Schizosaccharomyces pombe: one gene and its partners. The main gene of each other region encodes a partner of the protein of the gene in region 2 in a complex. Each region holds a gene or a part of one and is shown on either strand. Other genes may lie near its edges.

Evidence for each region. Proteins that work in one complex are often made in the same cells at the same time.
Region 1: SPOM_SPBC16A3.14 (region 2) and rsm24 share a complex: the UniProt entries of both Schizosaccharomyces pombe proteins name them as parts of the mitochondrial small ribosomal subunit.
Region 3: SPOM_SPBC16A3.14 (region 2) and mrps8 share a complex: the UniProt entries of both Schizosaccharomyces pombe proteins name them as parts of the mitochondrial small ribosomal subunit.

Annotation. Positions count from the first base shown.
Region 1 is NC_003424.3:562,147-566,056, reverse strand, and holds rsm24 (mitochondrial 37S ribosomal protein mS35), read right to left. Parts: upstream 2,132-3,910; 5' UTR 1,888-2,131; coding exon 1,593-1,887; intron 1,584-1,592; exon of another isoform or gene 1,505-1,583; coding exon 1,023-1,504; 3' UTR 984-1,022; downstream 1-983. Other genes in the region: phospholipase D Pld1, read left to right, coding at 1-889. UniProt on the Schizosaccharomyces pombe protein: Component of the mitochondrial ribosome (mitoribosome), a dedicated translation machinery responsible for the synthesis of mitochondrial genome-encoded proteins, including at least some of the essential transmembrane subunits of the mitochondrial respiratory chain.
Region 2 is NC_003423.3:4,269,526-4,273,768, reverse strand, and holds SPOM_SPBC16A3.14 (mitochondrial ribosomal protein subunit S26), read left to right. Parts: upstream 1-1,736; 5' UTR 1,737-1,831; coding exon 1,832-2,638; 3' UTR 2,639-2,778; downstream 2,779-4,243. Other genes in the region: meu7 (alpha-amylase 4), read left to right, coding at 1-1,428; nda2 (tubulin alpha 1), read right to left, coding at 3,321-4,243. UniProt on the Schizosaccharomyces pombe protein: Component of the mitochondrial ribosome (mitoribosome), a dedicated translation machinery responsible for the synthesis of mitochondrial genome-encoded proteins, including at least some of the essential transmembrane subunits of the mitochondrial respiratory chain.
Region 3 is NC_003421.2:330,497-334,080, forward strand, and holds mrps8 (mitochondrial 37S ribosomal protein uS8m), read right to left. Parts: upstream 2,071-3,584; 5' UTR 1,988-2,070; coding exon 1,529-1,987; 3' UTR 984-1,528; downstream 1-983. UniProt on the Schizosaccharomyces pombe protein: Component of the mitochondrial ribosome (mitoribosome), a dedicated translation machinery responsible for the synthesis of mitochondrial genome-encoded proteins, including at least some of the essential transmembrane subunits of the mitochondrial respiratory chain.

The sequences.
Region 1 (3,910 bases), on a different chromosome or scaffold from region 2:
TCCAGACATCTTACGAAAAGCTGAAAAGAGTATGAAGAAACTAGATCAACGTGTCAGTTTAATTCCTTCTTCGATTGAATTCAATATTAAAACTCAAAAGGACAAGGTCGAGTTTGAAAAGAACTACGAGAAGTCTAAAAAAGGGCCTGATGTTATAGCCAACGCCCTAGTAGGCGGCATCCCCTTATCACTGAAAACAAAGGAGGACTCATTATATGAACTTTCCAAGTTCTCTCAATGTGGGGAGGATCAACGTCCAATGGTACTTAAAGACCCTGATCATCTAGTGCCTGAACCCAGTCGTCCACACTGTGGAAATGGACTTGTGTTTTATGATGATATACCATTGCTTGAGGTGAATCCTATTAGTGGAGAAACAATTCCTAAATTTGACGCTTCAAGCTTTGAGGACCCCGTCTGCGATGAATTTTTTGAAGACATATGGTCTAAAGTGGCTTCAAACAATACTACTATTTATCGGCACATATTTCGATGTGTACCGGATGACGAGATGCTAACGTGGGAATCATATAATGAGTGGAAAAAATATGGAAAACGCTTTAAAGAAGAGCAAGCCCGCTGGCGTCAGGAGGAGTTGTCAAATCTACACGAAACTCATGAAAAGTCAGAGAATGATCCAAAAAATCCAAAGGCTGGTTCCCAAGGTAGTGGTAACACGAGTGCAAGTGAAGATTCGAAGACAGAGAAACCAAAAACCCGTACTAATAATGGTTTACAAGTTCCTGACAAACGTGTAGTTTACGACTTACTACGTGGCATTCGGGGACAGTTGGTAGAACTTCCATTAAAATGGATGTCTACCGAATCAAACGCAAGAAATTGGCTCAGTAGTATTGACAAAATCCCTCCGTTAGAAATTTATGATTAGAGAAACAGTACCTTTTATACTACAGTTTTATTTCATCTTAATATAGTAATGAGAAGGATTAATTCCTTCAATATTAGCTTACATTATAGACTCGTTAATTTTAATAGTAACTTAAACAAACTTTCCTTTCATATTATTCATCTGTAGTTGCTATCGATTCTCGTTCAAGTACTGTATTATGTGATTGCTTGCCAATCGTTGTTTTCTTTTTAGAAGTGAGTGTAGTTGCGTCTGCGAGCCATTCCTGTGGCATCCGTTTATCACACTTCTTGTATTTCCAATGGCCAGTATTCAATGGGACATGTGAAAATTTTTCAGCATTTCTCTTCGATTCTTCAATGAGCGAAGTTAATATCTTTATAAGATGATATTTATTTTGTAGTGCAGAAGAATACTTGTCGGAAGATATTCTGACTAAATCCTCCTCCGGATTATATCTTGGTCCAACCAATAATCGTAATACATGTCGTTGTTTCTCCTCTAGCAAAGGAATATTCGTAACTTTAAATGTAACAACGACCTTCGGATTCATTTTCTCAAACGAAGACATTTGGACATCAGATTCAAACCTAAAGATCTGGCTATCAGCAGGCTTTTTAAAAGACTGTGTGTAAGCTATAATTGTCAGAGAAAATGGAACATTAAGCATATTAAAGTGATTGTGAAATAGAATTCCTAAGGTAAAACTACCCAGTAAACTTACGCGTAAGTCCAGGAAGCTCATAAGCAGCTTTCCTATACAATTCACGTATGACCTCGTGCTCTTGTATTTTCTGCCATGATAGATTATTGGAATGGACGTTATCATCAATTGTTTTCAATTCCTTCTCGTCATGAGGCTCGATTCCAAAAGGCGCTGACACATAAGCACTTCGCTTAAATCTTGTAAAATAGAAAACAGAGAAAGCTCTACTAGTAGCACAAAAGCTTGATTTGGAAAGTTGCCCGAGGAATATGGCATCTGCTTTCAATAAAGATAAAAGGGGATTAAAAGCCATTTTATAACCACCCAAAACACTAAATATATGTAATATTTGTATTATAAAAAAAAATAAACCACATTTAACGAATGCGCAGTAGTGTATGATACCGGATTTTATATTTTCTTTGAAACGAAAAGAGTGGCCGTTATAAATGGAAATCTGAATCTAACAAAAACTTTTTTTCTAAAATTTAACAATCCAAATGCTCAAAACAATTAAATAAGCTACAAAAAGGTACTTGAAGGGGATAGTGAAGAATGTATAAACATTGTTGTCCTTGACTTGACTTCGTTGTATATAATTATAACACACTAAATCTTAGTAGTTAGAACCAGTAAAAACCACATAATAGACTGGAATGAAGGTTAGTAACGTAAAATAGCATCGATTCTACTCAATTGCATTTATAACATCTATTGAATAAAAACACCTAATAATACTTTCAAGCTTTTTTTTTTCTTAGGAATTTAATAGCACTTGCTTCCCATCCTTTTTTGGCATTCGCTGTTTAAAAAGTGTGTTAGTTATCCTTATATTTTGATTTTCGTAAGCAAGACTACACTACGTTACGCTGCGTATCACTATATGTCATCTGTTAGGATAGATTTAAGATTCGTTTACTAATAATTGCTGATAACTATTCTTTTGAGTACTTGTTTGTGTTTGATCATGTTTACTCCAAAAGATTATAAACAGAGTACATCTGAACAGAAACAGGTTCGTTTATATGTTAATTAATGGCAGGTAACAACGTAACCCATGTATAAATACTTACAACAAATTGCTACCCACATCACACCTATATATAATATGATATTACCGATCACAATGAAAACTCACAGAAGTCAAACAAGATACTACAATGCGCAGCTAGATAATATTGCACTTTCATTACTAGCGCTATTTAGTAAATAATTAAAAGAAGTTCGATTCAATTGTAAGTTTCATGAGAAAACAGGAAACTCCATTTAAGAATGATTTAAATATAAGAAAAAGACGCAATGTTTTTAAGAAAATGGGGTAAACAGAGTGATGGCAAGTCATCTGCTCAGCGTCTAGTCATTATTATTCCCTGTATGTGTTAATTCAAGCCTATCAAAGTAAAATAAAAAATTTTTTACGAAATAATCTTTTATTGAACTTGATTTAAAAAATCTGTATTTTTTATTTAACTATATTATTATGAACGTGAAATAGTGCTTAATTGGGTTCTTTAACCGTGATGTTTACAATGTTTGTATTGTATTACTTTTAAGTTAAGTAAAAACTAAATACCTTGACCCACATAACTTGTTCTTTGCAAAAATGTTAAGGAGCTGAGTATTTTAGAGTACTCAACACGAATGGAAGTCAATGCATATAACAATCTGTAGACAGTAATATTAGACTGTTAATGTTTACATGAGTCATTTGTAAAAAAAAAAAAAAAAAAAAAAAAATTATAAAATAATTGAATAAATAACCTATTACAGAAATCTTCAGACAACGATATTTTATTAATTTATTCCATTGCAATATTGCTTTAATACAATTTGGCTTGACATTGTGATGGAATTGACATGGATAATTTAAAATAATTAATTAAAAATTTTGTTGAAATTAATTGACTATTAACAATTCATGAAGTATCGTAAATCTGCCCTGATAAAATAAAATTTAAAAAAGTGTTGAAAGTGTTAATGGCTTTATAATTTGTAAACTTAGCCGTTTATTAAGTTTGAATATTGATAATTATTGAAGAATAAAGCATTATTTCCATTTTTTCTTCGTTGATTCATAGCTTTCATCAGACCTCTTCTGACCAAGGTTGACTAATGTATACAATTTGATTTTAATGACAATTCTTTCTTCTTATTAATAGTTTTTGCATAATTTTTCCCCAGCTTCTTATTTAATCCATCGAATATTTCAAATTTACTAACCCATCATCATTTTACCTTTAGATATTTTACGAGGAGCAACGCGTTACTTTAGCGGTTTAAAATTCTTTAGCTTTATGAATCAGTGTAAATTTCACTTTTGCATAAACACTAGTGTA
Region 2 (4,243 bases):
GGAACCAAGCCTGACCATAAACCCTGGAAGCACGAGGAACACTGCCATCACGGTAGGTTCCCTCGTCCAGTTCCCCACAATGGAACCAAGCCCGATCACAAGCCATGGAAGCACGAGGAACACTGCTCATGCCATCATGATAAGTTCTCTCGCCCAGTTCCTCATAATGGAACCAAGCCTGACCACAAACCTTGGAAGCACGAGGAACACTGCCACCATGGTAAGTTCCTTCGTCCAGTTCCTCACAATGTAACCAAGCCTGACCATAAACCCTGGAAGCACGAGGAACACTGCCATCACGGTAAGTTCCCTCGTCCAGTTCCCCACAATGGAACCAAGCCCGATCACAAGCCTTGGAAGCACGAGGAACACTGCTCTTGCCATGAAGACCATTCAGTTCATGAGCGTCCTAGTGCTAAAGGGGCTCTCGAGGACTATATTCAAACATTTGTAGAAACTTTCCAAATTGATGGTATTCGTTTCGATGCTATGGGTGACAAATATAGAAAGTACTGGCCAGATTTTTGCAAAGCTGCTGGAGTGTTTTGCATGGGTGACTTGAAATCTTCCGACTCTTTAAAAGTTTGTGATTGGCAAAACGACTTGGAAGGGTTGAGTAACTTCCCTGTTAGAGAATCTGCTGTAAAAGCATTTTTGATGAATAATCCAGAGGGAATTGTTGATCTTGCCGACAAAATGACTGACATGCGCGGTTTGTGTGTCAATCCCCTATTGTTAGGAAACTTCGTTGAGAACAAAGACCTTCCTAGAATGGCTTCAATTTCTAGTGATCCAGCCACCTTAAAGAATGCAATTGCTTTTGTTCTTATGGGAGATGGTATTCCTATGATGTACAACGGCCAAGAACTTGCCATGCGCGGTGAAGAGGTTCCTTATAATCGACCTGCAATTTGGGAGAAAGGTTTCCCAAAAAGAAATCCTTACTATAAGTTCACGTCTACAATCAATCGTTTCCGCAAAGCTATGATTGAAAGCAAAGACGGAGAAGCTTTCTTAAATATGCAGTCGGATATTAGCATCGTTGATAAAAGAATATTGCTTTTACGACGTGGCAAAGTAATAACCGTACTCAACAACTTAGGTTCATATTACATTCATTTCCATTATACTGTTTCGGCAGAAGAGCACAAGTGGATGGACGTATTATCTTGCAAGTCCGTTCCAGTACAAGATAATCGACAGGTATTTATGGTACGCAACGGTGAACCCATGATCTTGTACCCAGAGGAATCGGCTTATGAGATGGGATTGTGCCCATCTCCAATTCAGCTTACTGAAGATTATAACAGTGAAGGTTCTCTCTCCATTAACGTTGAAGAAGCCCAAACATCAAAGGCACCAGAGCAAAATCGAGGATTTACCAATGTCCTCGCCGCTCTTTTATTATCTTTGTTAATGATTTTGTAGGTATACGTTCCTTGAAATCTAATAATATACAGATTTTTTATTTTACATAAACCTTTTTCATATAAAGTATGATGACTTAGTTTACAGACCCATAGGGCTCTGTACTGAAGTTCATGAACGATAAGTCACCTCAATATAAATAATAGACGGGTAAATCCATTTTAATTTTTGGCTTTAAATTACAAAGTACTCAAGTAAAGCTTTAGCCAAAAAAATTTAAACTCCCATAATGATATCCGACGCAAACCGTCCAAACGTATTCATAATTGCGGTGGTGTGGCTAACTTGTATTTGACACAAGGCGAGCTGCGATACCCAAACACGTCCAGTTCCCTTAAATACTTCGTTGTTGGTTTATATAGGTATTTCAGCAAGTTATACCTAATATTCAGATAATTTGCTTATGCTCAACACAGGTCTACGAAAAGGGCTTGCGCTTTCACCGATAACTCACCTTCTGAAACGATGTAGTTCAGTTACAGACAATGTGCATCGAGTAAACTATTGCTACAATTACCACACAGTTCCTAATCTTTCACAAAGAAATTTGCTACCACTTTTCAGTCCTGAAGCTCTTGACATTGCCTGGGACCAGCATCAACGTCAAGTAGTAAAAGAATTAAATGATCGAGTGAAGGGAACAGAACTTGAGGATTCATCTGTGTTTAACATTATCTTTCAAACAGCCGCTTTGCCTGAGCATGCAGCCACATTCCAGTTTGCAAGTCAAGCTTACAACAATCATTTCTTTTTTCAAAGCTTGATCGGAAAAAGAGCTGCAGATGCCAAAAAAAACTCAAAATATGAAGCTAATGCCGCTATCAATAAAGCAGTCAATGAAAACTTTGGTTCTAAAGAAAATTTACTTTCTAAAATTCATGAGCTTGCCTCAAATAGTTTTGGAGCATGTTGGCTTTGGATTGTAATTGATGATTATAATAGATTAAACTTACTGAGAACTTTTCAAGCAGGTTCTCCGTATCTTTGGACTAGATGGCAATCAAATGATCCCCATCTTATTTCTAGTGTGCCAGATTATAGTGCCAGACCTCGAAAATATGCGCATGTTCCCATTTTAAACCTTTGTTTATGGAATCATGCATATTATAAAGATTACGGTCTTTTAAATCGCTCAAGATACATCGACACATGGTTTGATTGCATAGATTGGTCTGTCATTGAGGAAAGATTGACTAATTCTTTGGTATGAAAGAAAGGTGCAATCAATTTAGATAATTATATCTCATCACAATCTTGTTATGATTTTAAAAAAACGCCTTTTTCTACTTTCACCTTATAAATTTCATTCTAATTTTAATAAAAATTGTGTTTTCTCTACTCGTCCTTGAAACTTCTACAGTAGACTGTTTTGGCTCATGCTCGTATTCTAAATGATTTTAGGCTAATTCCGAGCAATCGAGTCATATAAGTTAAGTAATTTATTAACCAATTAACCGATTTATTGCTTAGAGGTTGAGATTAAAAACATTTTTTTTGTAAAGCTAGAAAAGCGCCAATACACAATGTAATTTACAGTTTATAGTGTCTCTTTTTCATGCAAAATTAAAAAAAAAAGATACCACAGAAAGGAGAAATTGAAATTTTACTGGTGGTTTATTTGCAAAGATAGAGTGGATTAGATTGATATCTAAATGAGAATTGACTAGTAAAGAAAAAGAATGTTCAAGTTAAAAAATCAGTGAGATAAGTGGACGAGCAATTTATCTCCTTGCCGCTGGGTGAACATTTTAACTCTCAAAGAAAGACAGACACCCTTTAGTTATTTGACCACAGGGCTGAATAAACAAAGATTAAAGAGACAAGGGTAGATGCAAGATATCTTCAAGTTATAAAACGAATGAAATAACGTATAAAAGCGATTATTGGATAAATTAATACTCTTCGTCAGCTTCGTACATTTCGTTATCCATAGAATCTTGACCAACCTCTTCGTAATCCCTTTCTAAGGCAGCCAAATCTTCTCTGGCTTCTGAAAATTCACCTTCTTCCATACCTTCACCGACATACCAATGAACAAAAGCACGCTTGCTGTACATAAGGTCAAACTTGTGGTCCAGACGAGACCAAGCTTCAGCAATCGAGGTGGTATTTGAAAGCATACAAACAGCACGATTTACCTTAGCGATTCCACTACCAGGAACGTGTTGGGGTGGCTCATAGCAAATACCGATTTTGAAACCAGTAGGGCACCAATCAACAAATTGGATGGTGCGACGAGATTTAATGCTAGTAACGGCAGCCTGGACATCACGTGGGATAACATCACCACGATACAAAAGACAAGTAGCCATATAGCGGCCAGTTCGTGGATCACATTTTACCATTTGATTATAAGGCTCAAAGCACTGATTCGTAATCTCTTGTACGCTGTTGGATTCATGGAATGCTTTAGCTGCACTGACAATAGGAGAATAAGTGACTAAAGGAAAGTGAATACGAGGGTATGGCACAAGATTAGTTTGAAACTCATTTAAGTCAACATTTAAGCTACCAGCAAATCGAAGAGAAGCGGTGATAGAAGAGACAACTTGAGCAATAAGGCGGTTGAGGTTTTCATAGGTTGGACGCTCAATGTCAAGATTTCGGCGACAGATATCGTAACAAGCCTCATTATCAACCATAAAGGTACAGTCAGAGTTATCGAGAGTAGCATGGGTAGTGAGCACAGAGTTGTAAGGTTCAACAACGGATGTGCTCACTTGAGGGGCGGGATAAACAGAAAATTGGAGGTTAGATTTCTTTCCGTATTCCATGTTCAAGCGCTCCAGAAGTAAAGCACCCAAACCCGAGCCGG
Region 3 (3,584 bases), on a different chromosome or scaffold from region 2:
GTGGAAGGTATAAATGTATAAGTCTATATTATCAATTGAATTAAATGCAAATCAAGATGACTATTTGTTGTTTAAGAGACGAAATATTGTTTAGTGGATCATTGAGTAAGGTTAGTTGGCTCTGTGCTATGAAATTGAAATAGTGATTTGAGCTGCAGCAGGACAATCGACCATGTATGGAATGAAGAGAAAATATTGTTAATAAAGATCGGTTAATAGGAATAATGAATTTTTTTGGTTATTTAAATTTACTGTGGACTAAAGCCATTTGCTTCTGACAATAAAATCTTGAACATGTGAAAATAATAAATATATAAAGAAAGAAATTTGAGCTTTGCTTGAACAATTCTGAAAATAACTACCCAAGTTTTTTGTCATTTCCACGTGTTATTTAGTTATATTTCTTAAAAAGAGTCCCGTCCTTTTTATATTTACAACATCATTAGTATTTAAAATAAATCTTAGCCTACTTAAAATCCAAGGCGCAAATGATTGTTTATCACAGCATAAATTCTTGCAATTAACGAAAGAGTGTACATTCATCAATCAATCATTTTACTAAATAACAATGCCGATGAAAACAGACTCAATACTGCTTAATTACTCAAATACATTACCAGGATTGCCCAGTTAAAGAGTATGTAGAGAAAGATATTATTCCTACTCAGCGTTGGCACAAAATTCATTGTGTTAAATGCTTTATTTACAAAGCTGTAATTGCTGATAAAAAGTGTCACAAACCGGGATCGAACCGATGACCAACAGATCTTCAGTCTGTCATGCTCCCAACTACACCATTGCGACTAGTTGTTATCCATAGTCATTATAGATCTAAATAAATTGTATTCTTAATAATGGTTTTATAATATATTTTTCAAATGCAGTATTGACAAATACATATCCTTGTCATTCACAGATTATACATTTGTAAATACTTCCTATGTACTTAATCAACCTTATTTAATTTACACAATGCTTTAGAAGTCGCATACAATCTCCATCGATTATATATTTTATAAAACGATTTTCCTTATGTATTTTAAACATGTTTATCATTACATTACTAGAGTAACACAAATATTTTTTCTATTCCAAAAAAGCTTCTGCGGGTATAATTTTAAGCATATGGAATATTGTGAGTTGACAAAAGGAGACGGGATAAATTCAGGTGTAAAAAAACATTTATTCGTAAATCACAAGTCGAATAATAGTAAAACAAAAGGATTTATGTTTTGGCGGAATGGGAATTAAGACTATGTTTTTTAATGAATGGGATGTGTAAATATGCAGTATCTCAATTCACAAACTATTATGAAAGGAGTGGGAGATTTAAAAGGAATTCTGCCATTGATCCTTAGCTGAAGAGAAGGAAAACTTAAACATATTAGTTTAAATCTAACCAGCCTGTTAGATATTGCTTCAATTTTCAAAACAAATGAGTAATGTTTATTCTCTTATTAACATAGAGAAAGGAGACAATGTATCCGGAAAGAAGTTGTACGTAATAATAACTTTTTCCATCGAAGCCTCATTTAACTCGACATATAACGTTTCCTCCCAAATTATTCTTAATTGCATCGTCAATACTCATTATACCATGTTTAGTTTCTACAATTCCAACTTCTGCAGGCTCCAACCCATTCACAAAGCTAACTTTCCTTCCTTTGGCAAATTGCAACAACTCAGAAGGAGTCAAGTTCACCTTTCTACTAGGCTTTGATACTGCACGTATGTAGTGAAGAACCGGTTTTCCCTCAAAGTACTTTAAACCCAACCATAGACGGCGGGTCGCTACATTTTGCCTAGTGGTGATTGTGGGTAAAGCATCGGGTCCATGAATATCTCCGCGTTGAATCGAGCTTAAAAATCCTTGATGATACAAAACAGCACATAACTCGAGCACACTGTTACAGTTAGGAACGCTTGCTAACGACTTGCGAGCGCGAAATGAATTTTGCAAATGCGAAAAAACATAATGCAATTGCATTTCGACTTTTTTAACACAATCCTAATCTTTTATAAGCAGTCCAACAATAAAAGCCTTTTTTTTCTATACAGAATGGTGTTTTGAGGAAAGAAAAGAGGTATGAATGCAGTTTAGCTAGTCACTTCCAAATACCTCTCTCTGTACTGGAAGAATAGTAAGTAGTGAACGGTGTAGCTAGTGTTACACACTATTAGCAAGTTAATGGACATTGCAGTAATCACTGGATAGTAGTATATTAACGACACGATACTAAAGTTCACAATAAATCACTATATAATAAACTAAAAGCACCGGTTTACTATGTTTGGAAAACAAGGCGCAAAATTGCAAAACCAACGGTTATTACGGCAAAAGCCGTCTACCAAATGTTAGAGATTTACTTTGTACAGAATAAAATATGGATCTAAATCGCTGTGTCAATCTGTTAATATTATAGCATTCAAATTACCATGAAACCCACAAAGTTGTCAGAAGTGGGAAGCGAATTTTTGTGCGTTTAGTAGTTCCAAAATCCTCGAAAGGTATTCGCAAATGTAATAATCGAAAAAATTATAATAAGCAGTGTTCAAAAAAACAAGCGGTACAACAGCGAACGCCTGTAAAATATAGGGATGTAAAAAAGCATTTGAATACAATGTAAATTCACAATTGTATAGGATTATAAAAATTTTTTATAAAATAATGGCATAACGAATTCTTTACTGATATTTTAATTACAGAAAAGAAAACGTGAATTGAAAACAAAAGCCTAACAGTATGGAGAACGATTTATAATGCTTCTTTATGTGGCCGATCGTCCAGAAATTACTGATTTACTCAGTATAATATATTGATTTAATTAAGTTTCGCTTCTTAAAAAGGTTGTTAGTTTCGGTAAGCTGTTTAACGAGTATTACACAAAGCACAAGGCATTTTAATTTCATAAAAAAATGTCCGTTTTAATTTGAAAGACGTTCGAAATCAACACTTTTCAAAAATCAGTGCAATTACCGAAATCATTTACTTGAAAGTTGCCAGATTAATATTCTCAAAAGCAGGTTGTAAAAATGTATTATAACTATAAAGAGGATTTCAAGCAAGCAAATATAACAAGAAAAAGAAAACAAGTAGTAATCATTGATTTTGAACCTCCCGGTATTGTTAATATAGAACTAGTAAACAAATAGTAATTCAATGTACTATAATTTTCGTCAATGGTTACAAATAACAATTGGGTTCACTTTTATTGAATCACAACCACGATATAAAGAAAGAAGGGTTAAAACTCAAAAATCCGTCGATTTGGAACCTTTAAAAAAACATAAACCTATACAAAATTATGCGGTAATTTAAGAAAAGCTGTTAAAGATAAGCTTATATTTCTTATGTTCAGAAATTAAATAAGACTTATGTTGCGTTTGCGTGCTCAGAGAAGTATAGAAATAGACCTTAGTATATAGAAAATTCGAATGTATTAAGCATGTAAATAACAAAGTGATAAATAAAATATTTTCTTGATAGTTTTTTGATTTAATATAGTTTATAACTCAAGTAGGTTTTATATACAAGACAACTATGATGAGTCCTAATCTAGGGTTTGGTATATATAAGCTTCCAA